Caenorhabditis elegans: one gene and its partner. The protein of the gene in region 1 interacts with the protein of each later gene in a pairwise test. Each region holds a gene or a part of one and is shown on either strand. Other genes may lie near its edges.

Region 1 (4,287 bases):
AGACATTGCCACCGACAACTTGCATCTCGCAGATAGACTTGCAATTACATTTTCCGAAGAGATCTGGTGTGATCGGACTATCCCAACTTCCGTAGACAGCTTCAGTTGCCATTTTTCGGGCACTTTTTATGCTGTAAAAATAGTTATTTTAAGAGAAAAATAAATATATTCGAGATAAATTCGTCAATATTTACAATGAAAGCGTTTTTGTAATTGTGAGGTTTGTTTGTTTCCAAAACAATCAATAAAATTCAATTTGACAGACTTTCTAAGTGGATTAGTTTAAAGTTGTTTAAAAACATTTTTAGAAAAAACTCTTAATTTATAAAACAGGCATCACCTAAACATACAAAAATGCCATCATTATAATAATTGTATTTAAAAAAAGTAAAACTTGCGTTGGGGCAGAAAACAAGCGGAAGATTCGGAGAAGAATCTGCGTGAAATTGAATTTATAGTTTTAGGAAATGACTTAAAGTGATGAAACCAATCAGCTTATCGGTTTTCAAGTATGCGTACGGTTTTTCACCAGTCTCGTCAATTTTATGACATATATGCTGAAAATATGTTGCACTTTATTTTGTGGAATGAATAAAAAAGGAAGTTTATTGAACAAACATTAAAAAAAAAACTAAGCATTTGGAATGATATGGCACAAAAATTCAAATCACAAAAGGAGAGGACAAGAGTTGAATTACACGCAATTTTAGAACGGAACTGAGAATAATTATGCATGAAAAAAAAACATCTCAAATTGAATGAGAAATGAATATTTACAGAAAATCTAAACTAAGCTATTCGAATTTAATTCCCTGAGCCAAAGGAAGTTCCTTGCTGTAATTGATCGTGCAGGTGGATCGTCTCATGTACTGCCTCCAGGAGTCGGATCCTGATTCGCGACCTCCACCGGTCTCCTTTTCTCCGCCGAAGGCTCCTCCGATCTCTGCGCCAGATGTGGGAATGTTGACATTGACGATTCCACAGTCACTTCCTTTTGGTCTGAAAATTAAATGTTAGTTTTAAATTCACAATTTCAGAAAATCTCACCCCATCCATTTGAAAACATTTTGAATATTTGTTGTAAATAGAGAAGAACTCAATCCTTGATCAACTTCATTATTGATTGCAATAGCTTCCTCGAGGGTTGAGAACTTCAGAACATAGAGAATTGGGGCAAAAGTCTCGCGAAGAACAACTGGAGAATCGTGCTTCAATCCAGTGACAATTGTTGGGAGAACAAAGTTTCCATCCCTCTCAAGAACTTTTCCACCGTACTCAATCTTTCCTCCAGAAGCAACTGCTTCGGCAACTGAAGCCTTGTACTTTCCAACGGCCTGTTGGTTGTGAAGTGGGCCAATAATTGTGTTGGAATCCAATGGACATCCGATTCTTGATTCAAATTGAGCATAAGCTTTCTTCAATCTCTCGAGAACTTGATCGTAAACCTTATCGTGAACAATGAGTCTTCTCGTGGTTGTACATCTCTGTCCAGCAGTTCCAACGGCGGCGAAAACTGTTGCCGGTACAACCATGTTCAAATCAGCATCCTCGTTAACAATGATAGCATTGTTTCCACCGAGCTCGAGTAGAAGCTTTCCGAAACGAGCCTGAACTTGTTGTCCAACGATCTTTCCAATTTCTGATGAACCGGTGAATGAAACTAGATTGACTCTCTTATCCTTCACAAGAGCTTGACCGACATCACCCTCTCCACAGACAAGGGAACAGAGAGCTGGATTTACATTATTGGCAACAAGAACCTCCTCGACAAGTCTGAAAATAGTTATTTAGTGATTACAATTATGAAATAAGCGAGCTTACTTGGTCACAGCAATAGCTGTCAATGGTGTGGATGGAGCTGGCTTCCAGACAACAGAATTTCCTGTGACAAGAGCTAAAGCGTTATTCCATCCATACACTGCACATGGGAAATTGAAAGCCGAAATCACACCAACAACTCCAAGTGGATTCCATTGTTCGAGAAGAGCGTGTCCTGGACGCTCAGAAGGAAAGATTTTTCCTTCAAGTGATCTAGAGAGTCCAGTAGCGTAGTCGCAAATATCGACGTATTCTTGAACTTCTCCAACTCCTTCGGCAGAAATTTTTCCCATCTCGAGGGACACGAGCTTTCCCAGGTTTTGCAACTGCGTACGGAGCTTGTCTCCGATTTGACGGACGATTTCTCCACGTCGTGGTGCTGGTACCTCGCACCAATCGTTATAAGCCTTTTTAGCTTCAGAGATGGCGATTTCATAGTCTTGTACGTTTCCATTTTGTACCTGGAATTTGAAAGTTTTAAAACGTTTAGGGTATGTTTTTGAAACTTACATTAGCAATAGGGGAGTTATTTGCTGGAGCAAATGACTGAACAACTTGTCCACTCGCCGCCCATTTTCCATGAAAGACTCCGGCGTTGTTCTCCGTGAGACCAAGCTCTTTCAGGAATCCGTACTTTGAATCGTTGATCAGCAATTGCGACGCCATTCTGGTCTGCAAGGTAGCTGCAGACATTCCACTGCTCAACAATCGGTTCATCTGGAAACAAAAATATATTATTGTTAGACGCTTTGAAACAGAAGGTATTAGAAAACGAAGAGGTTAGTGGTCAAAAAACAAGAATGAATTGAAAAATGTTCGAAGGAGATTGAATGAAATGTATGGGCGGAGCGAGACACGGGCAGATTGTTTATGACGACGAAAACTGAGATGAAATTGATTGTTAATCAAGGAATTCAAGGACAGATTGCAGATCAATATCTATAAGACTATAGAATGCTGTAAATTTTATGACGTGGAACATGATACAAGGCTAATGATTTACAGCGGTTACAAGTTGTGTTTTTATGGCAGGCAACGTTTTATATATCTGATTGCAGAAACATTTTTCAAAAAATGCGCTCATAGCTCATGAAAAAAAAAATGCGGCATGCCAGTCCGAGGTAAAAACGAAGAAATGACGAGTCACGTGACTATTAAAAATATGAAACCACTTCGTGATAATTATAATAATTCTTTGATTATTAATATTAACTCATTCCCTTGTCATAAATATCATTTTCTCAGTCGTGATCTGCGGAATAGTAGTATTCTGCGTATTCGCGGCAAAGAAGGCGTGCAGCCGGTTGATATATATTTAGTTTCCGAATCAATGATGATATGAAGACAACCATGATAAAGAAGAACACAATGCAGTGACCACTAAAATTTGTGAAATGGAAATTGTGGAAAATTGCAGTCGCTTGCTCGACACAAAAAGAGCTATTCGGCTTATACATAACTTCAGGATAAAATTAATTCCCAGAAATTCAAATAAAAACACAGATCCACTTAGTTTGTATATGTTTCGTTGAAAAGGCGAATATTCGCACAAATTTCAATCTCTCGCACAATTTTTAACTACGGGAAAGCTAACAACATGGAATTATTGTGTCAACTTAATTGTAAATGTTTTAAAATGTTATTTTCACTGTAGAGTGTATTAAGCAAAATGCATTACATTTTTGAGCAATTTCAAATAAATCCCAATTTGGAAAAACTTGCAAAGAATTTGAATTCCCGGTAATTTTTTTCAAATAAAAACGCTTACCTTCTTAGCTGCTTTTGCAGCAACTGATGCTGCATTGGCAGCGGCCGCGCATCGTTTGCATCGTCTTATTCCCGAAAAGGGTGTATTGGGGCATTTTTACTGCGGAACAATGTAAATAATGAAAAACCTAATTTTGAAACACCGCGTAAATCCTCCCCGAAAAGCGTAGAATGTCTCTGCGTGGTGAGACCCAGTTGCGAAATTGTGTGCGCCTTTAGAAGCGAATTTATTTTCTAGAATAAATTCAAACGAGAATCATTGTTTTTCAAGGATTTCTGTTGAAAGTCTTTATTTTTTATTTAAAAAGTTATGTAATAATACATTTTAGAACCTTTTTGAATTGTAATATGCTCTCGAACCTTTTTATGCGTGTCTATTTTCCTCTTGAATCGTTTTCCAATCTCATTTCTCCGTTTTTTAGTTTTTGTTGGTTTTACTGAGATATTTCATAGTTGAATTCTTGTTTTCAGGTAGTATGTCGTCAATCCAGTGCCTGAACCCGAAAGCTGAGTTAGCTAGGCATGCTGCCGCTCTCGAGCTTAATATTAGTGGAGCTCGTGGACTTCAAGACGTCATGAGATCGAACCTCGGACCAAAGGGAACTCTCAAGATGTGAGAATAAACTGATCAAATGTATAATTGAGACTATAATCACATTTTCAGGCTCGTATCTGGAGCTGGGGATATCAAATTGACGAAGG
Region 2 (7,011 bases), on another chromosome or scaffold:
AGTTTCACGAAAACACTCCAAGGTTTATGTTCAACAAAAATGTATGCTTGATGATTGGGAAAGCTTTGGCAACTTTGCTGTCGGTTGTGTCGGTTGCAATTCTGAAACAAGCATCAGTTGTTTTTAAGAATTTTGCAACTTTAGCAAACTCCGGTGAAAACGATAGAAATAATAGTAAAATAGAAGTCCGTACATGATGTGCCTTAATGAAACAAAACATTTATATTTCTTGGTCTTTTTTGTTTATATTATTTTCCAGATATTTTCAATTTATCAATTATGGCAATTCAAACAAGGAAAATGATATTCACTCGTTCTCTATTTATATATTGGAAAATTTAAAAAACGTTTTTATAAATATCTTGAAAAGCAACCAAAACCAACTATCCCAATCAAGTCGTAGTGTGATTTACTATTGAAAAATTTGAACTAAACTTGCTTTTTCACATTCTTATATTTTTCCTTCCTCTGGTTGCCACATTATTTTATCACTGGCGTCAGTTTTTACATAGCTCTGAAACAGGAAGACATTGCAACATCAATTCACGATATTTAACCGTTATCTGAATTAAAAAAAAATCTTTACTCGAGCAATATAAACCAAAAGAGACTCATATCCTTGATATGGGGTGAGGGAGAAAAGTGGGGGATGGTTGGTGTAATTGAAAACAAAACGTTTAGAAATTTGTAATGTCTGAGTTAGGGGAGAAAACGAACAGAAAAGAAAATGAAACGTGTACGCTGATTTTCTGGGCAAGAACTGTTATAAGGAGAATAAGCGCATAAGACCAGAGAAGAAGAAAAATAGAAAGAAGGATAAGTGATGTTGATTGTTTTCGTTTTTGTAACAGCACATCAATTTATAAATATCATTATTAACCCACAGATGAAACAAATGCGGGAGGAGGGGTGCAATAGAATACATTTTTGATTTCTAGAGTAGAATAATCCATGTTGAATACGAATTTGACATCGAAAATGGCACTGTATATGCAGAGGAAGAAGTTAAACAATTGAAATGAGAAGTCTGATGAGATGAGATAGGAATGACTACTAAAATCATTTAAGAAAACAACTAGGTCATTTCGAGTTTGATTGGAAAATTATGAGCTACCATTTGAAAATAAAAATCACAGATGCTAATAAACTACTTGAACATTTAAACGTAAAAAAAATGTAGAAAAACACCGATGATTGATTATAACTACGAGGAGAAGACACGAAAAAAGAAGCGATAGAGAAAGATTTCCTATAAAATTGAAAATGAAATAAGGATAAGCGGTTGACTCGGAAAGAAACGGTTACCAGAAGCAAAGAAATAATTGGAATCTGAGAGATATATGATATAAACAAAACATAAGAACATAAAATTCAATATTTGACAAAAAGGGAAAAGAAGTGATAATTTATTCCGTCCACGTTGCTGATTATTCAACAAATATCGATGTTCCATTGACGGCCAGCGAGGCGTACAAAAAAACGCTATTCTCAATTTGAGACGTGTCGTACTAGAAAAAGACTTGTTCGCCATTCGGCACACCCGATGCTCATCGTCGCCAAACAGTGTCGAGAATCTGCAATGAATGAATTCAGAAGTTTTTGCAATTTTTCGCAAATCTAGCATAGTTTTTACCTAACTAGGGAACCGTCAGAAGGTGCCCATCGGACCTTAGTAAGATTCAAGATTGTCAGATATAAAACGATTTTCAGATTAAAATACAAAAAATTATAAAAAATAACATTCAGTGGTGCTTTTACTGTAAGTTGGTCCTGCTGGAAACAAACTGTACATGCTAAGTTTTGGTGATGTTTTGAAGTTGATCTATACTTTTCTTTGCTGATGTACCGAACTGATTTTTTGACAACATTTTTTACTCTTCGAAATTTCTCAGAAATAACCTGACTTTTTGATTGTTTTTTTATTGCACTTATTTTGCATTTTTGTTATTTCTTAAAGCAATTTAAGCACACTTCACAAAATTGACATCATTCACCAATTTTCAATTTATTTTAAAGTGTTTAGTTTCTACAATAAAGTGTTTTGTAACAAAATACCGATTTTCACTAAAAGCTATCGTCCAAAAATTTTAACGCTAAACTTGAATTTTTAGACATAGAAAATAAAACTCTTTTGTATTTTAAGGCTTAGGAGGACAATTATACTTAGACAACAATTTTTAAGCCTAAAAATTAAAAATCAATTTCACGTTTCATTTAAATGGAGAAATTAATAAACATTTAATTTAATTTTACCCATTTATTTACAGATTGTTTTTCTCAATTTTTCAGCAAAAAAATTGTCTTTTTGATAGCAGCAAATCTTACCTCATTGATAAACCGAGCCATACTAAATTGCTTCTCATTTCTTGCCTGCTCCATAAACGGCATCGCCAATAATTCCGGATATTTGGGACGTTCATTGTAATCCTTTTCAAGACTGCAATTTGCAAATTTTCATACTCTTCCCAACTCCACACCCAGAAACTCCAAAAAACTCACCATCTCTTGACAAAGTACTGACAATCAACACTAAAACCACTTTCCATCGGCAATTTTGGTGGCGGCTCTTTCACAACCTGTTTCAATTGTTCAAATGGGGTTTTCCAATTTGCGTAGGGATGGGTGCCAACGGCGATTTCAATTATTGTTATACCCAAACTCCATACATCAGCTCTCACATCATAGGCTGACTTAGTCTCTCCATCAATTCTCTCTGGTGGCATGTAAGGTTTGCATCCGGCTTGTACAGTCTGTAAATCGAAACACTATATATATTTTGAAATTTTTCTTCCCGGTCATGATGAAATTGAAAGATAACTCTGATTGGCATGACATCATTCGGCAAATAAAATTGCATTTCATTTTTTTAATAGAGGTCTCATTTTTATCGATTTTCCGTACCTTGGCCATGCTGTTTGTCAAGTGACCTGAAATTCCAAAATCGCAAATCTTGACTTGTCCATGTCGATTTAACAGAATGTTCGACGGTTTCACGTCTCGATGAATCAAATTCAGTTGCTCTTTCATAAAGTTGAGTCCTTCAATGACCGACAGAGCCATTTTCCCAATAAACGGCTCTGGAATGTGTTTGCCAATTTTGTATGCGTGCCGGTAAAATTTGTCCAGCGACGTGTCCATCACTTCCATGCAAATCCAGACATCACCTTCGCGAAACATTGCTCCATAGAACCGTACCATTTGCGGACAGCAATCACTTCTCCTGCACGCGTCTAGCTCGTTGAGCATCTGCTTTTGAGATTGATCGTTGATTGATGATTTGATTCGCTGTAAGAAAATGAAATTTGCTTAGGATCAATTTAAAAGATAAATTCGATTTAGTTTGAAAATTCATTTTTTATTTTTTTCAATACGCGATTTGCTTAAGTCTCGGTTCAAACCAGTAATATTTAATTTATAATTTTTTTTTAGTATTTAAATCTGTAGTTTCGATTAATTTTTATATTGAGAATTTAAATATTCGTGATTTGAAAACATTTTTTGGTCAGATCAGTTTTCCATTTACATGTTGTATTTACTTTAATCTTGAACTTTGCCACAACTACATATGAAGTATTTGCAATATGTTCTAGTGAAAGTTCAACATATGAAATCTATGAAGTGACCTTTTTTATGGAAAATTTCCGCGTCACAGACTGTTCTTATTGTTGGTATGTCCTATTAACATACATATTGATGTACAATCACCTAGTCACTTATTCTAGTGTATGGATGAAAATGAATTTTTGAAATCAGTAAGTATTGATAAATCTCAATACATTCCATAAATGTTTGATATCAAGCTACTTTGAATCTATTTCTCATGTTCCTTTTCAAAAAAAAAAAGATTTTTTTCATCATATCAGAAACGAGTGACCTGCGTTTGAAATCCTATCCTCAAATTCTCATTTCTTCACTTCCATAATTTACCTTTGTTCACGAAAATTTTAATTTATACACCAACTTTTCAAAGGTGACGTGTGGGCGCGTGTGCCGACAGCCAAAAGGCAATCAGTGTGTCGTCTCACACGGCGCCCTTCAAAAAATGGAAATGCTTTCCGTTGGCAATGAAGACTAACTATTATTTTTGCAGTCACACCTAAATTCAATAATCTTCATCTTGCTAACTTGCATTTGCTTTTGAATAACTATTGTATGTGAAAAATGACACGTTGCATTCAAATTAGAATAGTTTTTCCCTAATTAAAGAAAAGTATTTTATGAATATCTTAAATTTATACAAATTGCCTATTTATTAGTGCACCAGCCAAATAGGAATTTGAATTTAGTTACTTTTTGAAAAGTTACGAAAAAATGAAACATTTTTTTGAAAAAACCGCTTTTGGTGAATTACCAAACATATGTACATAGTTAATTTTTTCAAACTGTTCTTGTTGTGATACTCACTTTTACCGCCATAATTATCCCGCTCTGCCTGTGCTGCATTTTCTCCACAATCCCATATCCACCTTTTCCAAGTTCTTCGAGTACGACGAGGTCGGTGGCGGCAATCTCAATCTCTTCGGACTCGTTTGTCAATCTGCATCAATCAAAAATTTCTCATACTTATATTATTATTACATAATTCGCCGCGCCGTCTTTACGTGTTCAATATCAAACCCGACACGGGTATCACCTAATACTTACTTGATAAGACATCTGTCTTCCAGATTCATTGTGGGCGTCTCGACCGGTGTTGGCATCACGATCTTCATGCCCGGCAGCTTGCGCTCACGTCCTACAACAAGTCGAAATTAGATGCTTTGGCAAATTTGAGGTAAATGAGATTTTTCTTACCTTTTCGCTCCATGATGTAAGACTCTAGAGAGACGTTCCGCACCGATCTACATAAATTGTAGAATTCGCCGACCAGCGATCGTCTGCAAAAATTAAATGAGGATAAGGAAAGAGCAAGAGACACGGATTTCAGCAAAAAATACGGTGGGTAAATTTTTCACAAAGCGAAAAATGAGGAAAAATGACAATAAAGAATACAAATGGTGGTTTCGCGGTTTTGTGAACAAAATTTAGAGGTGTCATTCAATCTTTTTTCGAATCTAAATGTAAAATAGATAGTGTTGGTCTTTCGTTACTTATCCATCAATCTGGTCCTTTAATTAAAGATTTGGGAATCACGTTTTTTCCTTCTTTTTTTCTCCTGGCGGAGGGTTCTCAGATTTGATGAATGAGAGTACGAAATTCTGTAGAAAAACGCGGAATAGATCGTTGAAAAATAGAAGAAATAAGAAAAATAGGAATAGGAAAAAAGTGAGGAAAAGATAGAAGAATGAGAAGAGAGCAGAAGCAATTTGGTGAGTAGGAAGCAGAAAAATAGAAAAAGGGAAAAAAGAGGGGCCCCCATTTTCATCCCAGTGAGAAAAAATTAATGTGAAAACAAAGCGAAAAACCGTTGCCCGGGATGTGTTGTCGTAAAAATTCAAATTGAAATCAAGGTGCCAGACCAAAACGAGAACCGAAATCCGTTTTTGTTGGTGTTGTCACTGGGAACCAATAGTAACCTTGGAGCGGGTGCATGAATTTTTATGGGATGTGATGTGAACAAGTGCAACATGGAAGCTGGGGAGGAGGAGCAAGATGGAGCTGCCATGAATAGCTGAGTCATTTATAAAGCAGGGAGAAAACGAAGTGTGAATCATTTAATTGGAGATACTGAATTTGGAAATATCACAAAGAAAAACTCATGGTTCCGCGGGATCTTCTTACTAGTTGCATGACTAACGCAGAAATAAATAATTTCCGTGGGTGGGCGGCAAGTAACTCATATAACATGGGGTTTTTTTTTTCAATTTTCGGAATATTAAATTTTTTAAACTTCAATTTACTATTTTTAGTATACTTTTGCAGTTTTTATCGTTTTATCCTTCATTTCCCCCAAAAAGGGCCCATAAAAACTCGAAAAAAACTGAGCGCTTGATTTATTGTTATTGAGAACTAGAGCAGTGAGTGAGTTAACGGAAGGGAAATACGACGAAAAAAGTATTGGGAGTCAGAACTTATAGTTTTTGTCAAATGTTTTAAGAGAAAAGTGGAAATGAAATTAAGCAGAACATAGATTTAAAAATAGTGAAAAAGTGCAAACGTTTTTTTCGGAAAAAGTGTCGAGAAACCGTTTTTGTGACCAAACACATTTTTGTCATGAAAAGTTGCGAAATTCGCAAGACCACACATTTCAGGAAATCCCGTATGTGTAATGGTCAGATTTTACAAAAATTGCCTGATAGTATAATATTGCGAAACTTTTTTTGTTGAATCATTTAGACGGTGTGGGTTCGCAAATATTTTTGTAAGTATTTCGGGACGCATGTACATTTTTAGTTATTCTTTTAAGTTATAGTGTTCAGTTACAAAAACCTTATAGAACTATACAATTTACTCAATTTTTTGGAAGAAAACCAATTAATTGATAAGATTGCTAAGCCACGAATATGCTTCAGACCCGTTTGCTCTCAACAAGATAATTCGTTGAAATCACCTTTCAAAATGTTGTTGTCTGTTCACAAAAAAATGTTGATCATCGGGGGGGGGGGGGGGGGGGGGGCACTGTGCACGTAAACAAGTGATAAGAAACGACGACAAAAGTTACGCAGGACACCACTATTCCTCCATCTCTCTATCACTTTGCCTCTCTGCATCTCTCTCTCTCTATCTTTCAATGCCGTTTTCTGTTAAATGTTACTTTCTACACTCGCCACTCTCTCTTTCTCTCTTTCTCTCTCTATCTATTTCATCTCATACACACAGACACAATCTTCCATTTGTGGAAAGGTATTGTATATTGTGTCTGCAGTACTTGTATTCTACTAACCTCACCCTAAAAATTGTTCATCATACTTTTTTGCATTCCAGCAAGTAGATGAGTCATATGCAAAACGAGAAAAAAGTAAAAGTATTTAAAAGAGGGGAAAGATATTCGAGACGTTGAAACATAAAATAAGTTATATTTCATGAAAAATTAAAAGTTTCTCAAGCTTCAACAAAGTTAAAAGCTCATGT

The links.
Region 2: the proteins of alh-9 (region 1) and sek-1 interact in a two-hybrid assay, tested with the Caenorhabditis elegans proteins (one large-scale study listed by BioGRID).

Annotation. Positions count from the first base shown.
Region 1 is NC_003281.10:5,855,457-5,859,743, reverse strand, and holds alh-9 (Putative aldehyde dehydrogenase family 7 member A1 homolog), read right to left. Parts: upstream 2,536-4,287; coding exon 2,329-2,535; intron 2,280-2,328; coding exon 1,822-2,279; intron 1,774-1,821; coding exon 1,048-1,773; intron 1,000-1,047; coding exon 795-999; 3' UTR 565-794; downstream 1-564. Other genes in the region: dpf-4 (Peptidase S9 prolyl oligopeptidase catalytic domain-containing protein), read right to left, coding at 1-112; cct-6 (T-complex protein 1 subunit zeta), read left to right, coding at 4,062-4,198, 4,250-4,287.
Region 2 is NC_003284.9:7,814,600-7,821,610, reverse strand, and holds sek-1 (Dual specificity mitogen-activated protein kinase kinase sek-1), read right to left. Parts: upstream 4,878-7,011; 5' UTR 4,808-4,877; coding exon 4,795-4,807; intron 4,736-4,794; coding exon 4,645-4,735; intron 4,538-4,644; coding exon 4,405-4,537; intron 3,286-4,404; coding exon 2,902-3,285; intron 2,751-2,901; coding exon 2,500-2,750; intron 2,438-2,499; coding exon 2,326-2,437; intron 1,575-2,325; coding exon 1,548-1,574; 3' UTR 575-1,547; downstream 1-574. UniProt on the Caenorhabditis elegans protein: Dual specificity protein kinase which acts as an essential component of the p38 signal transduction pathway which is also composed of upstream effector nsy-1 and downstream effector pmk-1. May phosphorylate pmk-1.